Linked DNA regions of Drosophila melanogaster. The protein of the gene in region 4 interacts with the protein of the main gene of each other region in a pairwise test. Each region holds a gene or a part of one and is shown on either strand. Other genes may lie near its edges.

Region 1 (3,900 bases), on a different chromosome or scaffold from region 4:
CGATAAAATGATCAAAATCTTGAATGTAGTACCTCGTTGAACTCGTATTCGTATTCCCAATCGATTGGCATTTCAATTTGAGCATTTTAATTTTTTTCGATTTTTTGCCAATTTTGATGATGTTACCCCTTATAAAAAATGCGAAAATTGTCAAAAATCGAATTTTCAAAAACCTGCAGATTTGTTATATGGGTCATTAGTATGGATCAATAGCTGTGCAAAAAAGTCATTCCTAGAGGTTTCTAACACTTCTTGGCTGATATATGGCGAAAAACCTTCTTTTTTCCGACCAAAAACACGTATTTTAGCTAACGCAACCGATAAAATGATCAAAATCTTGATTGTAGTACCTCGTTCAACTCGTATTCATATTCCCAATCGATTGACATTTCAATTTGAACATTTTAATTTTTTTAGATTTTTTGCCAATTTTGACGATGTAACCCCTTACAAAAAATGCGAAAATTGTAAAAAAAAAAATTTTCTTTATTTGACCAAAATTTGATACAAAATGAAAGTACAGATCAATAGATGTACAAGAATGTTAATTTTTTTGGCGTGGGACTCATTTTGGCCAAGTTATGATAAAAAGGCTATGGTTCATACAAATCATTTCTATTCAAATATCCAAATGCCCAATGAATCAATTAGCTGCAAAGTAAGACTTTTAATTTAATTGAATGCTATTCAACACTTTACTATTCTAAAATGGCATCTTAAAATGCCAGCACTACCCTTCAATGATAAATGCAAACTGCGATGAGTGTGACTGTTCCACGACCATGTCTATGACTATGGCAAATGCCGTTGACTCGGAGCACAATACACAATAATTGCCAAGTGACGGCAGCTTGGGGGCGCATCAATAACGAGTGCTTGTCACCCGGTGAGCCCACCATCTACCATCCGCCCGCCACCACCACCATCAATCCACATCCAGCCAGTGCACCTCGGATCCACTGGAGCACCGCCGGGAGCGAAATCACACCCATTTGTCAGGAAAAAGAAGTCGGGCGGCAAACGACGAAGTCCACGTCCATGGCGTCGGCGGCGGCGGCGGCGGCGGCGGCGGCTAATTGCAGTTCATGCGAAAAACATCGTTAATCACTCATTGACAGTTTGTTATTTGTTAAACAAAGCTAATGACTTAATGGCATAAATGGTGTGGCAACTGCACCGCGGCCCAAAGGATATCGAAAGTCGAGCCCGGTCGGAGCAGCTGAATAAATGACACGACAGCTCAGGGCAGTCGTCCTCTGTTCTCTGTTCTCCGTGTTCCGTAGTTATGTAGATAAACAATAAGCTGACAAGCCGGTGTAAAATTAATTGTCCTGGACAGCTTGGTTGGGCTTGGGGAGACTGGCGGAGGGGCGTGGTTTTATGGATGATCACGATATGCCCATGGGGCGAAGCAACTAGTTAGAAGTGGCAATGGAATCCCTCGTCTCACGGGATATGTGGATTGGCAACTAGAAATAAAGTAGGACTCATGGGCATTTTGTAAACGAGAAGTTAAACAATTACCACAGTACCTACAATATATTTCCAACACACATCCCTACTGAAACGGGTCCACATCCATGTCATCCACATCCACGTCGCTGGATAAGGGTCTCATTTGACCCATCCTATAGGCTTGCCTTGACCTCCGATCGATTTGGTGTGTATCTTCGTCATCATCCACATCCGGCGAAGGAACATGGGTTTGAATAAGGGTTCTTCTGTGCTTAACCGCCACTCGGCGGGCGTCCTCCATATTCCGCATGTGCATGACCACGGTTTCCGGCATATGGACCACCTTCCGCCGGACAGGATGATGCAGGAGCGGCACAGACGGGGCGATGGCGACCGTGTGGGAGGGGCACTGGGTGGCCAGGTTGCACTGATTGCGCCTCATGGGTCTCGAACGGATCTTGTACTTGCAGCAGTTCACGTGAAAAACCTTCGAATTATTAATCTTGGGACGAAGTGTGCTACGTTTATCTCTTTTCGGCAGCTTCGCTTTAATTTTCTGAGGAGGATGGACCTTCGAGTGGACTTTAACTTTCCTTCTAGTCTTGTGGCCTTTGCGTCCCATTTACTCGATGTGATAACAAGTAATTTGGAAATATACAATACGATAAATACTCTGACGTTTTTGATAATATTATTATCCAAAGCCTTTGAGATGATCATGAAAAAAACACGCTAAAATTGTATTCTATTCAATCATAGTAGGCTTTTCCCATCTCTGTCAGATGTCTGGGAAGTTTTCCTCTACACACTTCATTCGTATTTATTTCATCGTAGGATTCAGATCTATTGGTAGAAAGTAAGAAAAAAAAAATTCTCAAAATTTAAGTTATATACAAATTTGGAGTGAAATATTTTATAAACACTTTCGGAGTATCTCGAGCTTTCCACACATCGAAAATGAATTTTTGTTCAGTGCCTTACGAAGCTGACTACGGCATGTACGCCGATTCCAAGGTACACATAGTTGCATTGGTTCTGTAGACTTGGTAATAAGTCTAAGTCTATATTTCAGATGAAGAGCGTTCCTCAGTACCCCCTAAGCATGGGAGTAGGTCAGGGTCAAGGACAGTCCATGGCCATGCAGCCCCTGAATCCACCGCAGATGAATCTGCAGATGCAGATGCCCGTGTGCCAGTCGGGCGCTTCGTCGTACCCAATGCAGGGTATGCCGCTGGGCATGATGCAAGGGGGCAATCAGATGACCCCCATGTCCACGATGTCCACCCAGCTGCCGATTGGAGCGGTGACTCCCCTGAGCAGCATGACCATGATGCCCATGATGGGCAATCCCATGGGCGCCATCGATGCCCCCGGGATCAATGCAGTGCTGCCTGACCTGCAGCCGATGACCTCGATGGGTCAGATGCAGCCGCTGCAACAGTACAATCCCAGTGGATCTACCACCCAAATGCATCAAGGACGTCTGACGGGCGGCTGCAATGCTGTGATGTCTGCGCCCTGTCCCTCGTCGCCCTCGCAAGCTGGCGGCTGGAGCTCCGGTCCCAGCCCCAACCAAATGATGAACAGCTCCAATATGTGGCAATACAGTCAGCCTATGCAGAGTCACCAGCCGCAGTACCACCAGCAGCACCAGCAGCAGCAGCAACAGCAGCAGCAGCACTATCAGCAGCCGAGCCAGGGACACCAACAGGTCAACCGGATGAAGACCTCCTACGACGCTCCCATGTACCGGGATATGCGGAACGGTCTAAAGTAAGTAGATCTCGCCCAGGGGCGTTCGGCATCCTAATCCGATCCATAGCAATCCTTTTTAATCTCTAACCCTTAGCGCACCATCGATACACGATTCATCGAAGTACAGCAAAGGCAATCAATCATTCAATTGTGGTGAGTACTCACTTTTTTTTTTTGCATAAAAGAATGATATACAATGTTCTGCTTTCAGGAAAAGCGGTTAGCAAGGTCCCCCATTGGCGTTGACGAAACCCTTGAGCCCATCATTAGTTGTTTTTGTACTTTTGCATGATTGGTGTCTCTTTATTTATTTGTTCCAAGACTTCCCCTACGCAAGCAAACAGATACTCAAACCCACAAGAAACACAGACTTGGCCACAAACATATTGGTGTGGAATAAATAGTTTATATGTTTATGGCCGAAATGGAATTATTCATTCGTTGTTTTTCATCTGGCGACTTTAAACGCCCTGATTTATGGCCATCAGACATCAAAATTGGCAACATGTTCGCGGCAAGCGGAGTGTGGTGGAGGGTGGGGGGCTCGGCCAAGGAAAATTGGACGAGGGAAAAGCTGAAATGGCGATGAAAAATTTATGCTGACCGCATGATGAACGCATAAAAAATGTTGCCAACTTATGGCCAAAATGCAATCCACAACCCAGTCGCTGTGCGGAGTATAAACAATGG
Region 2 (4,679 bases), on a different chromosome or scaffold from region 4:
TTATGGCTTGTATAAACAAAAGAATTAAATACAAAGTGAAGGTTGCATTAATAACAACAATTACCGCTCTCCCCCTATCCATAGAGCCATAATCAATGCCAGTCCCGAAGAAAAATGGCTGAGTGGTAAATAAATATTTAAAAGAATTCCCATGAACGTAAATCGTCTGCAGTTATTATTGGAATGTATACTAGAATAAATAGGTTTTATGACGACCAATGACAGCAATCAGCATTGCTGATAACTTGGAATAATAAGTGGTCTAGCAGTTGTCAAATTGAAAACGTTTTCTTATAATGTCAGAGTTGAACATATTCCTTCAATTATCTAGTAATTCCGTTCTCAAGAACTCCGAGAGTTCTATGAAATGGATGCCATTAAGATTATTTTTACATAGACCATAAGTATATAGCAGCACTGAACTTTACTGATTTACGAGGCCGGAAAGAGTCTGAATCAGAGATAACCAAAGATGACACAATGACCCAGAGTCATCTTCAAATTCCAAGTGGGATGTGTGTGATTAATCTGTTTATAAATATAAAATTTTCCCCAGAAAAGTGCAGCTAACTTTTCGACCGAATTGAGAACACACACTTTGCAGCATCCACATCTTTTCATTTCGGACCGCCTCCGCCAAGTGACATCCACATCGAATTTGGAACAGCCGGCTGGGAGGTGGAGTCCATGGACGGCGGTTCGAGGCGAAAGACATCGCAAGAGAACAGGTTGCCCTGCCGATGGAGTGAAGTCGTGCCAAAGCAAAAACTCGTTTCTCGTGACTGACTCACTCCCCGATAAAAAGCGCAGAAAAATGGGCTAATCACACAAGCAGATACAAAGTAAACTTCTTTAGATGAAAACTGAACTGAACTGAACGAATCCAAACAAAGGAAGTCGGAGAAAAGGGGCGGAAATGAACTGAAAAGTTATAAAAAAAAGGTGCAGACGATCGAGAAGCAGTTCGCTATACTTTTAGGAAGAAACGGAAGCCATGTACACTGACAGAAACAGAAGATGCTCACGTGCCCGCAGATGCATTATATCATCTTGATACTGAAAGTTGAGTCAGCTTCATTGCTCAGCGAATCTGATATGAAGGTTGGCAAATTTCTTGCCAGCTTATCCAATCGCTTATCATATTGTAAACCTTGGATGAACTTGTGTCCATTTTCCGTTTGTCTTCGGATTTCGACCAGCGTCATAAGTTCTCCATTTGCGTTTGGAGTATTTGATTAATGATTCGAAACTCTGCGCTTATCTCTGCGTTTTCATATACATAAATAATAGTACAGTGTTTGTTATTATGTTTATAACTTTCATCTCGGATTTAGCATTCTACATATCTTGTTTATTAGTGCTATTTGAGCAAGTGGCTTTACATTTAATTATTTATACCCAGACTTGTCATTCTGGAAACGTTATCCCTATTTGCATTTTTTTATTTTTGGAATTTGAAAATAGTCATGCAAACCGCTTAGTCGGTTAGAATCAACTTGTTTGGTTTGCTTTAATGTTTATCTTACTTTAATCCTAAACAAAGCAAAAACAATCGCTTACTGTTGAAAGTCATCTGAGCTTTTTGACTATTTTTATTTTGATTATTTTTTCTCGGCTCAACTTCGAGCTCGAATTTCGAATGAAATCAACAAATGCTTCCCGTTTTTGTAAAGATTAGATTTATAATTCTGCCTATTCAAGCTAAATCTATCACGTGGGGCTTTTTTTCAGAGTCTGCTTCCAAGTTCTGCAAAGTGTGTGGCTGGGAAATGATAGAATAGACCCCGAAACTCTATAAATACACGGATTCCGCTCGGCTGGGTGTCGTTCCCACCACACGCACTTGTATCTCAGGTCAGGGATGTGTGGCACATATCTACACCGAAATATATGTATAGTGTATATACATCTGCGGGTGCGTGTCTATGTCTGCGGGAGTTCCTTTTTTGAGTGTTTTGTTGGGATGGAGCAATTAGTGCAGTGCCGCCAGGTGGGATTTCTGGGCGAGAAGGGAGGGCGGAGCATACATTTCGAGACAGGAAGGGCGCTATACCTACTAATTCGACACCGCAAATTGAATAACTCGCTTCTCGGGCTGGGTAAATTGAAATAAACAGCATAAATGAGCCGACGGACACTCACCAACATCGACAACCGCCGCCTAAGCCAATTAAGCTGGCTGTTGGACTCGGGCACGTGAAAGATGATGATGATGCGACGCGGCGTCCAAATCCAATTAGCCGTAGGATCCAGCGATCGGTGGCAGTTTCAGACTTCCAGGCTCGTATCCCCCAACGGATGCTGGAAGGGAAGCGGAGGATTACGTCGCCGGACTTTCAATAAAACACCCAATTTGGACAGCTAAGAGTGCAGCTTGTTCAACTTATAAAAATGACTTGGGCTTCGTTTTACAAAACTAATGGTTGTTCGTGTTAAATCGTGTAAAATTCCAGTCGAATTTGGGGTAATATTAACAGATAAATCAAAACCGTTGGGAAAGTTTGTTGAACAAAGAAAAAACAACAAAAATTAAGGTCGCTGGCGCAACGAGGATTTCCCACTTTTCCAGCTTCCAGTGGCCCTTTTGGCCTAATTGGAGTTCTTGGTAGCAAGTTCCATGGAAAACATGGATATTTTATAATCCGAAGTAAGTCTCTTTAAGCGATTTTAAAACGAGCACGCACACACATGTTGTACATATACTTATATACATATATATATATATATATATATAGTTGGCGTTGTTTTTGTATGTATCACTGCACTGCACCGCCCTTTCGAAACATTCTTTGTTTGCCAGTTACACCTGGCGCTTGTTGTGATTTTCACTCGCTTTTCATATTTTCCCGTGGCAGTAGGCGTGGCCAATCGGGTTTCAGTCACGCGAAGGCACGCTCCATTCAGACTAGATCCGCCCCGGATGTTCACCTTTTCTATTCCAAATTTATCCGATCGAAAAACTTCGCATTTCAAAGAGTTCTGGACCAATGTGACAGTGCGCGGAGCCAGGGAATACCCGTTCGTGGCTTATATAAATGCGCAAAAATACGCCGAAATTAAATACTAAATGTATACCGGAAAACCGACGGAGCCCTGGAAGAATACTATAAAAAAACCGTTAACCGGAGACGCAAATCATAACCGGAAACTAAGTTTAAATTCAAATTTTTTTGGATCTTGTTTCTGTAATGCGACACAATGCGTAAGGAGTATATAAATTAAGATTTAGCTCTTTTAACCACAGTTCCCACAAATTAGATTCAATACTTAGCCTCTTCCTTTTCCAGATATAGGAGTCTCGAATTCATTGTACTAGCGTTTCATTAAACAATTTTGTTTATTTTGGTTTCGTTTAAAACACTATGTTAGACGTTAAATAATTTACAATCAAAATTTGGATTCAGTTTTCTCGTATATGTACCCCCGATTTTTCTTCCGGGGGCACTACTCCATTGACCACCTGTCGTCCACTGCTCACACGGGTGGATGTGTATGTACGTACGTCCTATGTCTGCATGTTTTCATTTATGGGAGGGGGAGGAGCAAGTGGGGAAGTTTTACACGATTGTAGCAACATCGAAAAATATAACTTTGATATCTATGGTACTATACTATACATACACATGCACGTGTGCTCCCTACACGTTCAAGCATTGACTTTGTTGAAGGCTCTGCATTAAGTTGCGTTATTATCAAAATAAAAACTATAGCGTTGCACATGATCGGAGGCGTTAACTTCGCAATCGGCTAAATTAAAAACATTCGTTTTGTGTCGTCAGTACCCATACATATATCTCTCTATTTATATATATAAATATATATACATATTTATTTTGTATATACCTTGTGGTTTGCGGTTAAAGTCGCCTAGTTTGTGACCAAATTCATCATAATTTGCAATTCATTTCATTAGAGTTTAGACTTTAAATCACTACGATTTTCAAAGTAAAGCTTGGTATTCAGTTTATTTGGATTTTCCTCTTCCTAATTGTTGTAACTAAACGGCTTTGGGGTGAACTAAATTAGTAATGCGATTCGATATTCGGGATACAGTATTGTGCTGTGCTGAATTTACGCGATTTCATTCAAAGATATCGGATTACACTTACTTGGTTTTTTTTTTGTTATTATTTGGCAGTTATTTTGTTGTTGTTGCAAAACATTATTAGCTCTAGCAGTGATGTAATCCCAACCCAAAGAGAACCAACAGTCGCAAAAGCATTGCAAACGGAAACAGAAGCCAGAAGCTGGAAAAGCGGGCAAGCACACGGGCCAATCGAATCGAATATATGTGACTACGTTACTTAGGCAATAATAAATTAATTACGAAATATAATTGGGCTGAGGTGGTTTGTGGTGTGACAAGGTGCGTTGTGGAAACTAAGGTAAAACGAAGATCTAACCATCAAAACAATAACATTATCTCGGCCTGATCTGCGATATATATGCACCTAATAGAATAGACTCGGAAACTAAAGCCAAACTAGTTACAGCATTTGTTTACAGTTACAAAATCCTTAACTCCTTAACACTGCTTATACGTATCTATAGCCACCAGCTGGGTTCAAGTTGTGTGGATAGGACGCCGGCAATGGAGCGCACTACAGCTGCGCCAGCGAGTCGGAGCGAATGAGCGGCGCCAGTGAGCTGGGCGCCTTGTGACCCGGCTCAATCTCGTA
Region 3 (3,624 bases), 3.5 Mb from region 4:
GCATCCAATCCCCTGAAAGTATGTAAAGAAAATGAAATACTTACATTCCCACAAATGAGATGGATTTCCATTTCTATCAAAACAGATAATAAAACTTAATGAAAAGGTTCAGCCTATCGTTAGGATGGGGAAACGCAATCCATTCCTTATCTTGATCATAGTACACGTTTCAAAGCTACATAATAAGGAAAGAAACACTTTCTTTTCGCAGTGTATTTCTAGGACAAAGCATCTTTTTCCACGTGGCATATAAAAATGTGTGCATTTCATTAAGGATTCCTCTGTGGCTTCCCCTTACTCTGCAGAGTTTTCTAAAAGTGCTCATTGGCATTTTTATCAGGCACTTTGGCCAGAAGTTGCACTCATTATTCTGTGGCATTTCATTTGCCGGAATCTCCTGGGTTAATTCAACAGACCCCCAAAGTGAAACTCCTCGCATTAGAAAAGTTTTGGGGATAATTAGCCACTTCGCTGAGGGGTTGGTACTTCCAAAAAAGTTTTCAATTAGGCACATCGTTTTTGCATGTTTTTATTGCAGTAATATTTACACAAAGGGACACCAGAGCTAATTCCCACTTAGTACCTTTTTAAAACGCCTTGGGGGTTTGGTTCTTTTTGTGGTCTTTGCTTTGTACACTTCTCAATAAATAAATAAATAAACAATACGCCGAGAGCGGTGTGTTTCAGCTACTTAACTTAGAACGAAATAAATAAGGTTACAGTTTGGCCGAATTTCGTAAGGGGGGTTTTGGTCTCTAGACCCATGTTCACTTCTGACCCGCGTAGGCCAAGTCCTGGGCATCCTGCGGCTCTTGCGAGGATCGGGCCCAGGCATGAGGATCCCAGGCGGGCGATGGGTGCTCCAGGTGCTCGATGTGCTCCACGGGCAGATCCACGTGGTGATCGATGTGGTGCTCCAGATGATGATCGATGTGATGCGGCACTATGTGCTCGATGTGGTGGGGCACCACGTGCTCGATGTGGTGGGGCACCACGTGCTCAATGTGATGCGGCACCACATGATCCACGTGATGGGGATAGTGCACCACCTCGTAGTTGACAATCTTGGGCTTGGCAATCTTGAAAATAACCAAGGCTCCAGACAGCACCAATGAGAGCAGGCCCAAGGTCATGGCCTTCCAGGTCTTTAGGGCAATGAGTCCCAAGGCCAGTGGCACCAGCACAGTGGTCTTCAGTTTCAGGCCCAGAAGGAAGGGCAGAACTGCCTTGCGGATCATGCCACGTCCTGGAAAAGTAGGAAAAATACAGATTAGATTTATCACAAGTGGTAAAAATCCAAATATTTGTATGCTGATTTGCATAAACCCTAAACATTTTTGAAATTTTTGATAATGCCATTTGTCATATTCAAATTAGTTTAACGATTTCTATTAAACACAAGAGTGGCATTTCAATAATTAGTATCAACACTTGTTTCTGACACTGTGTTGCGAATTGAATGTTATTTTGAAAAAACGTAAGCTCGTTTTGGATCGTCATCATTACTTTTTTATCTGACTTAGATCTTGAGTTCTTACCTTCGTTAGCAGCTGCCAGGGGAACTAATCCTCCCTGAGTAAGCGGATTCGACATGAGGAAGTCGGGCACCAGGGAGCGGGCTTCCGAGGTGCGGAAGTACTCCGGAGCCTGGATCCTCAGCGAGTGGCTGCCCAGATAGCTGTCGATGTCGTCGAAGAGGCGCTCCTCCGGGTTCATGGATCGGGACTCGACCTTCTCCGCGGTACGGACAATCGACAGGCGCTCGGTGATGCGCACCTCCGGCTGCCGGAGGGCAGAGTTGAACCACTGCAGGGCCTTGGGACGCACGCAGGAAACACTGAGGTCCTTAAGGCAGCCATGGTACATGTCCAGGGCTAGTTGCGTGGCGGACTGGGGCGCCACCTGACCTTCGGTGGGCGCCGAGTGGGCGGTGGACAGCGCCGCAAGGGCGACTATCAGACAAGCGGCGGTGCTCTTCATCCTTTCGACGACGGTTAGTCCTCAACTCTCACTCTGGTTCGATGGTCCGGTGGTCAGGTGGTTTGGTGGTGCGCACGCGTTGGCCACTCAGCGGGTTATGCAAATGTCGCATGGGAACCGCTTGGTTTTTATACGACGGTACTTTGCTAATTGAATTGCGTATGCCAGGTACGCACGGAGCTCTTTTTCTGCCCACCGCTTTGGGCTCCAGCTTTAGCGACCATTTCGCTTTGTTGTCAAAGTCATGGAAAGCGCAAGTTGACCACCTGAGTTTCACCTTTGTGCAGGTATGGCCCTAGCTGTGCTTCTGGCCTCTGATTCTATTTCGATACTCTAGTCTATTGGGTCAGGCGAACGTTTTATGGGCACGCTGTTCTCTTTGTGGGAGGAGTAGGAATTCCTCATTGCGACGATTTCCCGCATAATACGCGCCATAATGGGCCGCACATAATTGAAAGTTATTTGATGGCTTCTTCTGCATCGACGGCCGGGGATCCGCTCGTAAAATCAAGTGCCCAGCAATCCGAGGTGCGTGCCTGGAAACCCAATTAAAATACCACTCACCCAGCAGATTGGATACTCGTTTGTACCCACGGGGGGCAGTCAAATGCACTTGCTGACCACGGAAGCTGAAGAAATACCATTTCATTTCATTCTCCATTGTGAATCGAGTCGCTTTGATTCGTTCTTTAATATGTATTAATATTTACCTTCCAATTGTAAGAACATTTGCATAGAATTGAATGAATGAATGAATTGAATGAATGCTGAGATATGTTTGAAGTTAATTGTTTAATGGATCTCCTGTGATGTAGGGCATCAAAAATTAAATCAAAACTGCTGTATGACTTCTGCGTTATTACGAAATAAATTGTATGGAAGATTTAAATAGAGTGAAAATAGATCGGTAACCAAAATCACAAAATGGAATAGCCGTTAACCACCGATTTTCTGTAATTGATTTGCAAATAACTGAACCTTGAAGTTAATTGCATCTTAATGAAAAAACATTATGGTCTGCGGAGAGTTTCATGAGACTCCGTAAATGGGACTGCGGTAAGCAATTAAAAAAATATTACTAACCTTTTTATGCACAGTTTCTAGATTTAAGTCATTTGTGCTAAATGTTAGTGCTCTCACAGTGCAGTTTTGATGTACCAACAAATAACGCGATGAATTATTATTATTATTATTAAAATTATGGGAAAAAGAAAGATCCCATTCACATAATAATGCTCTTGAACGTTCAGATCTAGGTGAATATATTTCTAAAACGTTCGATATTGCAATAGATCAAGGTAAATGTTGTAAATCGGAGAAACAATCGGAACATTGATAATTTCCTGGCTGTAGTTTTAAAGTAGTTGCAGATGAAAATTACCAATTCTCAATTTTTTGTTATATGTATTTGAGCTTAAAAGGATATCCTGGTGAACACCAATTGGCTTAATTTCTTCCAATAGAAACCCTAAATTAGTTTTAGTAATAAGTCATTATTTGATATTTAAAGTGCCACCTAATTTTCAAATTGTAAGTATAATTATAAACAAGAATACCGAGTATAAAGGAATAAAAGGAAATAGGCCCTTTAATGATCTTCTTTCCCATCCCAATTATATTTTTCCTTGAACTTAAAGCAGGTAA
Region 4 (5,741 bases):
TCATATCGGTTTGCCCTTTAGAATATAGCATAGCTTTAGGTTGAATTTGTGTACAAACTATTTGTATGAACGGCTCGACAATTGCTTCCGGGCGAGGGTGGGTAATCGCTCCAAGTATCTACTCCATTATTATTATTCTATCTCAGTACCAGTGCGTCCTATTTTAGGTAAATTAAAGGCAGGGGTCCCACTTGACGAGCCACTTGTTTAAATTGTTTATTAAGCACACCGGCGGTCGTTAGTGGGTTGTGTTTAGGCCAATGATATTTAAATGGCGGTCGGGGTTGGGTTGGGGTAACTTACCTACAATACACAAATGTATATTATATATATTTTTATATGTTTTGGCGTTTTTGCTGCTTTTTTACTTTACTGAGGTCCGGTATAGGCGTAGGATATCGTATATACACGTATTTACACACACAACACCCACGAGAATGCAAGCCAAGTATTTGTATTTGATAAATGTTAATGGAACACTTCAACCATCAAGAAACTAAGATAAAATGTTCAATAAATTATTGATGACACAACTCGCTCGCTATTTTGATATCTCTTTGTGTATAATTATCTTTATTTATATTGAATATGTATAGCTGTTTACTGGTTGCAACAAGGCGTATCATTATATTCATGTGTGGCATTGCATGCAACAGGACAGATTCGAATTTGAAGCAGTCGCTCTATCGATTTTAATCACAAGTAATCATCTTCAAGGTTGACAATCAACTGATTGGCTGTTTAATGAACTTTCTTTGCTTAAGGCAACCAATCTTATCCAAGCCGAACGATTTCGTATCTGTCCTGATGGAGCACCCTTTAGGAGAGTTGTGCTAATTATAGATGATCGGTTGCAGAAGTCTTATACTCTGGTTTACATGGTTTTAACTAATTTTCATAACTTTAACTAGAACAAAGACAGACGTTTTTTTTTTAAATTACTAACTGTACGATCCAAGTTTGGAGGAGCACAAAAAATGGGTTTACGGGATACACATTGCATTTGCAAACACATCGAGCACATATAATGGAGATTAATTGATTGGGTAAATGCCTGCTGGCAGTTCATCACGGCCCAGTGGCTGGACCGCGGGTGAGTCGCGTCACCCAGACGTAGATGAGGGCGCACACCACGAACTGCAGGAATATAAACTGGTAGTCGAAGATTAAGCTATACCTGTGAAATGTAAACGATGAAACGCGCCCGACAAGCGCCAATCAAGCAGCCGCTTCCACGTCTCATTCGTTGTTGTCGTCAGCCATCGGGATAGCAGCTGCCGGCGCCACAGCCTCTGGAAGAGCAGGTTGGACCTGAGCGGGCGGCTGGACGGCTTGGACGGCCATTGCCATTGCTGGTTCCCGATTTAGCAGGGCTATGTTGCTGGCTTTCATGCGGGCTATGGAGGAGGCCATTCCAGAGCCGTTGCCCATAGCTGATAGACACGGTGACATACAAGGTGTTGTGCATGATGAATTGCTGATTTCACACTGGTCAAGTAGGCGGAGAAGCTCATTGGTGTCGGGTCCGCCATTGATTTTCTGCTGCGGCTCATCCTTGGAGAGCAGCGCCAGTGCAGTGGTTAGGTCCCACATTTGAATAGCGCCGTTGCAGTGACCGGTGAGTATGAACCGGGACGATACCTCGCACTCGAGCACACAGAAGGCCGAAATTGTGGAGCTATCTACGGATCTAATGACGCACACCCGATCACCGTTGGAGGCCAAGCGTACGTACAGCTGATCCGTCTCGGGCACCACCTTTTGCACAAATATCATGTCGTCGTAGTCACCGTAAGGTCCAAAATCATTTCCAGCCGCATAGCTGTAGCTCGTATCGGTAGCTTCCAGCGACACGATTTTGAACGATGCTTCCGGCGTGGATCCCGGCTGGGTGGAGAGCATGCCCCGGAAGCGGGTCAGACGCCATGTTCGCACGTGGTGGTATTCGCTGCACACGGAGACGAGGTATTTCTCCGACAGCATCACCTTCGTTACGGGGCTTTGGTGCACAAAGAAGGTCTCGAACAGGTGTGGTCCATGGCCAGCTGTCTCCGGATGCTGGACAATGATTCGAACCGCTCCCGACTTTGTGCCATAGGCAATTTCAATCCAATTGCCACTTATGCTCGAGGTTTTTGGGGTAAGGTAGACCGAGATGGCCGTGATAGGGTCTAGTGTGACATCTTTGTAGAGCTCGGTAACCAGTAAATCATTGTCCTTTATCCGGAGCGGGAACTTCTGCATGTCTATGTAGTAAATGGAGCCGTTGTTGCAGCCCAGCAGCAAAAAAGAGCCTGCGGAATCGAATGAGAGCACGGGCACTAGGTCCTGAATCTGCCAGTGCTGCGTCATCGCATGCCAGACGCCGATCTTGCCGGAAGATGACAGGGCCACCAGCTGACTGCCGATAAAGAACAGGTACTCCACTCGCACATTTAAATTAAACGTGCCCACATCCGTTTTCTGGCCGCCCTCCTGAATGCTCCACAATCTTATCTGACTGCCGTAAGAAATGGCCACCATCTTGCTGGGCAGTGGCTCTGCTGCGGAAGTATTCACCTTTGAGTTGATGGCGATTCTTTCGATAGTGGCGTCGATGTGGGGCGATGTGAACACCTGCTGCCATCCGTTGGAGTCTTTCACCCGGTAGCAAGTCACAAAGTGTGCGTAAGCCACTGCTATCCAATTTTGGTGCGCCTTAATGATTTGCACTCGCAACGGGTCCACCCAGTTTGAGTTCTGCGTGGGACTGAATACCAGGCCAACTTCGTTTCGAAAGACTTTGTTCAGATCGGCCGAGGAGTTCCGAGAGTGGCGCATAAAGTCAATCGAGGGATTACGTGAGTGCAACATGGGAGCTGGGGGATTGGCACCATTGCCAGTGCTACCTGTGCGACCAAGGCGCAGATCCCATGATGAATTGCGCGAGTGTGAGGAGCGTGAGGGTTCGGGAACGCGCACCATGGACCCAGGACGACTGCCAATCGCACTGGCCGAAGTGGAGGGCAATGACTCGTCAACGCTAGTAGCAGCCACAGCTTCGTTTGACGGCATGGGCGGCGCCGCCAGAAATCCGTAGAACAGCAAATCACCGCAGGACGAGTGGTTAAGGTCTTCGCAGAGGGCCAGGCGCTTGGTCAGCGGCGTGATGCCATAGTACTCGGCCTCATGGCGCAGAGCGCGTATTTCGCAGTTCTTGATGTCGATGTCCTTGGTCCTTAAGTAGTTAAGTATGATCGAGAAGAGCGTCGGATCGCGATCAATAAAGATGGCATTGTGCTCGTCTCTGAGACTCGAGATGCGTCCGCTGAGAAGAGCCGTGAAGAAGGTGTCCGGGATCCACGTAAGCGTTTGCCGCGACGTGGAAAAGCTATGGATAGTGAGATGGAGTTTGCATGCGTCATCAATGCCGTTAGTGGGCCGTAATGTGTTGGTTCTTTGTTCTTACCGCTGACCACCCACATTGAGGTTGACCAGGTCGCTGCTGGAGGCATGCGTGAAGTGGGACATGGCAATCCGATGACCCGCGGGCTGCCGCAGCAGCGGACGGTGGGGATTGCTCTAAATGCGCCTCTATTTGTGTGGCTTCCGTGCTCCCAGCGCTCCAATCAGCAACTGATATGGCGGAGCAGTGGCAGCGGCGTCAGCGGAGCAGATAACTCGCGATTTCGGTACCCAACCCACTTGACGTGCGCTGCGGGGTGCAATTTATTCGATTAACTCTTTGTGCCAGGCTATTTATTTATTTATTATTTGTTGCACTGCACTGTAGAAACTAGGGATGGGCAAATTGGTCGTGACTGTTCCCAGCCATGACGAGTCACTGTTTACGGGGGGTCCCTGTTGCATTTAGTTGTTTTGCTGAACTTTCCACTTTTGATTTTGTATGTGTTAACTCACCAAGGTTTTTGATGGTTTCCAAACAACAATTCATCATTAAAAAATAATTAATATAGAAATAAAATTAATTTGGGCATCAGAAAGTATATGCATTTCCACAATTATAAGCAACGATATTTCTTGTGAAGCAGTGTACATCTCTAACTCTCGGTTAAATTCCCATGCAATACGGTCATACCACCTTTTCGTCAAGCAACGGTTTATTTCGCTTGGTGGTAAATTTGAAAATATTGTAAAGTTATGACTTGTATTAAGCATCAAAACAAAAAGCTCATGGATCTTGCTGTCACACTCTGAGCCTTTGGAACTACGCTTTAGTTTAGTTTCGGACACCACTCAAAATTTCGAAAAAGCCCAAAATGCCGGCGGCGAAGTGCGGTTGTTTGAAGAAGGAGGCTCGCGTCCATGTCATCTACGTGGGTGGAACCATCGGAATGATCCGCAACGAGTCCGGAGGTGGGTATATCAATGGCTCTTGTCCGTGTACTAATCAATTGTTTCTCATCAGTACTGCACACCGCGCCCAAGGTGCTGGCTCGGCAGCTTCAAGAGTTTCCCAGCTGCCACGACAGGAATTACACCAGCAAGGATAATGATGGTCCCATGATGGTGCTACCCGCAGTGTCTGGAGCTCCGTATAGAGTCCTTTACGATTTGATTGAGTTCTGCCCACTGATGGACTCCAGCTGCATGGGCTTCTGCGACTGGAAGCGCATTGCCAACGAAGTGGGAGTAAGTTGAGAGTCGAGGATCATCAGGTTAATACAAAATATGCAACTAACTTTTTTCGCAGAAGACATACAAGTCCTACGACGGCTTTGTGATCCTCCATGGAACGGATACCCTAGCCTACTCCGCCTCGGCACTAGCGTTCATGCTTGAGAGCCTGAACAAGCCCGTGGTATTCACTGGGGCACAGATTCCGATCTTTGAAGCCCGCAGCGATGGGCGGGAGAACTTCTTGGGCGCACTTCTCATAGCAGGAAATTACAGTATACCCGAAGTGCTGGTCTTCTTCGGCAACAAGATTCTACGTGGCTGTCGCTCCACGAAGCTCAATTCTGACTCTTTTCACGCACTGGACTCACCAAATTTTGCACCATTGGGTCGGGCGAGTGTCAACATTGAGATCAACAGCCGCCAAATCTTCCGACCGTGCAATATTAAACCATTTTCACTTCATTCGGAACTCGAAAAGAACGTGGCGCTGCTGCGTATTTACCCGGGAATAAGTGCCAGTGTGGTGCAGGCAATCCTGAAAGAGCCAACGAAAGGTGTTGTCCTCCAGACCTTTGGGGCCGGCAATTTTCCGGTTAATCGTGAGGACTTGCTGGACGAACTGAGGGAGGCGGTTCACAGAGGCGTTATTATTGTCAACATTACGCAGTGCTCGGCGGGCATGGTGGCCAACATTTACGAGACAAGCCAGGGTCTGATGGAAGTGGGCGTAATACCCGGCTACGATATGACTCAGGAGGCAGCCTTTACCAAACTGGCCTATGTGCTGTCCAAGCCGGAGTGGGACATTCCCAACAAGAAGAAGGTGATGCTACTAAGTTTGCGCGGAGAGCTGACCACCAATAAGGTTGCCAAGATTAACGACATTGATCTGATCGAGGGCGTGGCCCGCACATTGCACATGTCGACGGCGATGGAACGGCAGCAGATGTGCTCCACATTCTATCCCGCTTTGGTGGCGGCCGCGGTCACCGAAGGTGATGTCCACAAGTTGGGCGATCTTAAGCAGTACGGCGCCAATCTGTGCGACACCAACTGCGATGGTCGCTCCGCCATGCACCTGGCCTGCTTCCTGGGCAAACTGAACTGCGTTTGCTTTCTAA

Evidence for each region.
Region 1: the proteins of CG9467 (region 4) and atlas interact in a two-hybrid assay, tested with the Drosophila melanogaster proteins (one large-scale study listed by BioGRID).
Region 2: the proteins of CG9467 (region 4) and promL interact in a two-hybrid assay, tested with the Drosophila melanogaster proteins (one large-scale study listed by BioGRID).
Region 3: the proteins of CG9467 (region 4) and Osi18 interact in a two-hybrid assay, tested with the Drosophila melanogaster proteins (one large-scale study listed by BioGRID).

What each region holds. Positions count from the first base shown.
Region 1 is NT_033778.4:23,282,481-23,286,380, reverse strand, and holds atlas (atlas), read right to left. Parts: upstream 2,155-3,900; 5' UTR 2,078-2,154; coding exon 1,559-2,077; 3' UTR 1,537-1,558; exon of another isoform or gene 1,533-1,536; intron 1,470-1,532; 3' UTR 560-1,469; downstream 1-559. Other genes in the region: CG3124 (uncharacterized protein), read left to right, coding at 2,413-2,469, 2,528-3,228, 3,305-3,363, 3,422-3,456.
Region 2 is NT_037436.4:3,124,725-3,129,403, forward strand, and holds the start of promL (prominin-like), read right to left. Parts: upstream 3,001-4,679; 5' UTR 2,929-3,000; intron 2,493-2,928; exon of another isoform or gene 2,302-2,492; 5' UTR 2,143-2,301; intron 1-2,142. Other genes in the region: CG11537 (uncharacterized protein), read right to left, coding at 4,602-4,679.
Region 3 is NT_033777.3:6,328,707-6,332,330, reverse strand, and holds Osi18 (osiris 18), read right to left. Parts: upstream 2,084-3,624; 5' UTR 1,981-2,083; coding exon 1,539-1,980; intron 1,247-1,538; coding exon 768-1,246; 3' UTR 522-767; downstream 1-521.
Region 4 is NT_033777.3:9,797,221-9,802,961, forward strand, and holds CG9467 (uncharacterized protein), read right to left. Parts: upstream 3,807-5,741; 5' UTR 3,511-3,806; coding exon 3,449-3,510; intron 3,371-3,448; coding exon 1,240-3,370; coding exon of another isoform or gene 1,069-1,239; 3' UTR 549-1,068; downstream 1-548. Other genes in the region: CG8526 (uncharacterized protein), read left to right, coding at 4,260-4,356, 4,409-4,632, 4,694-5,741.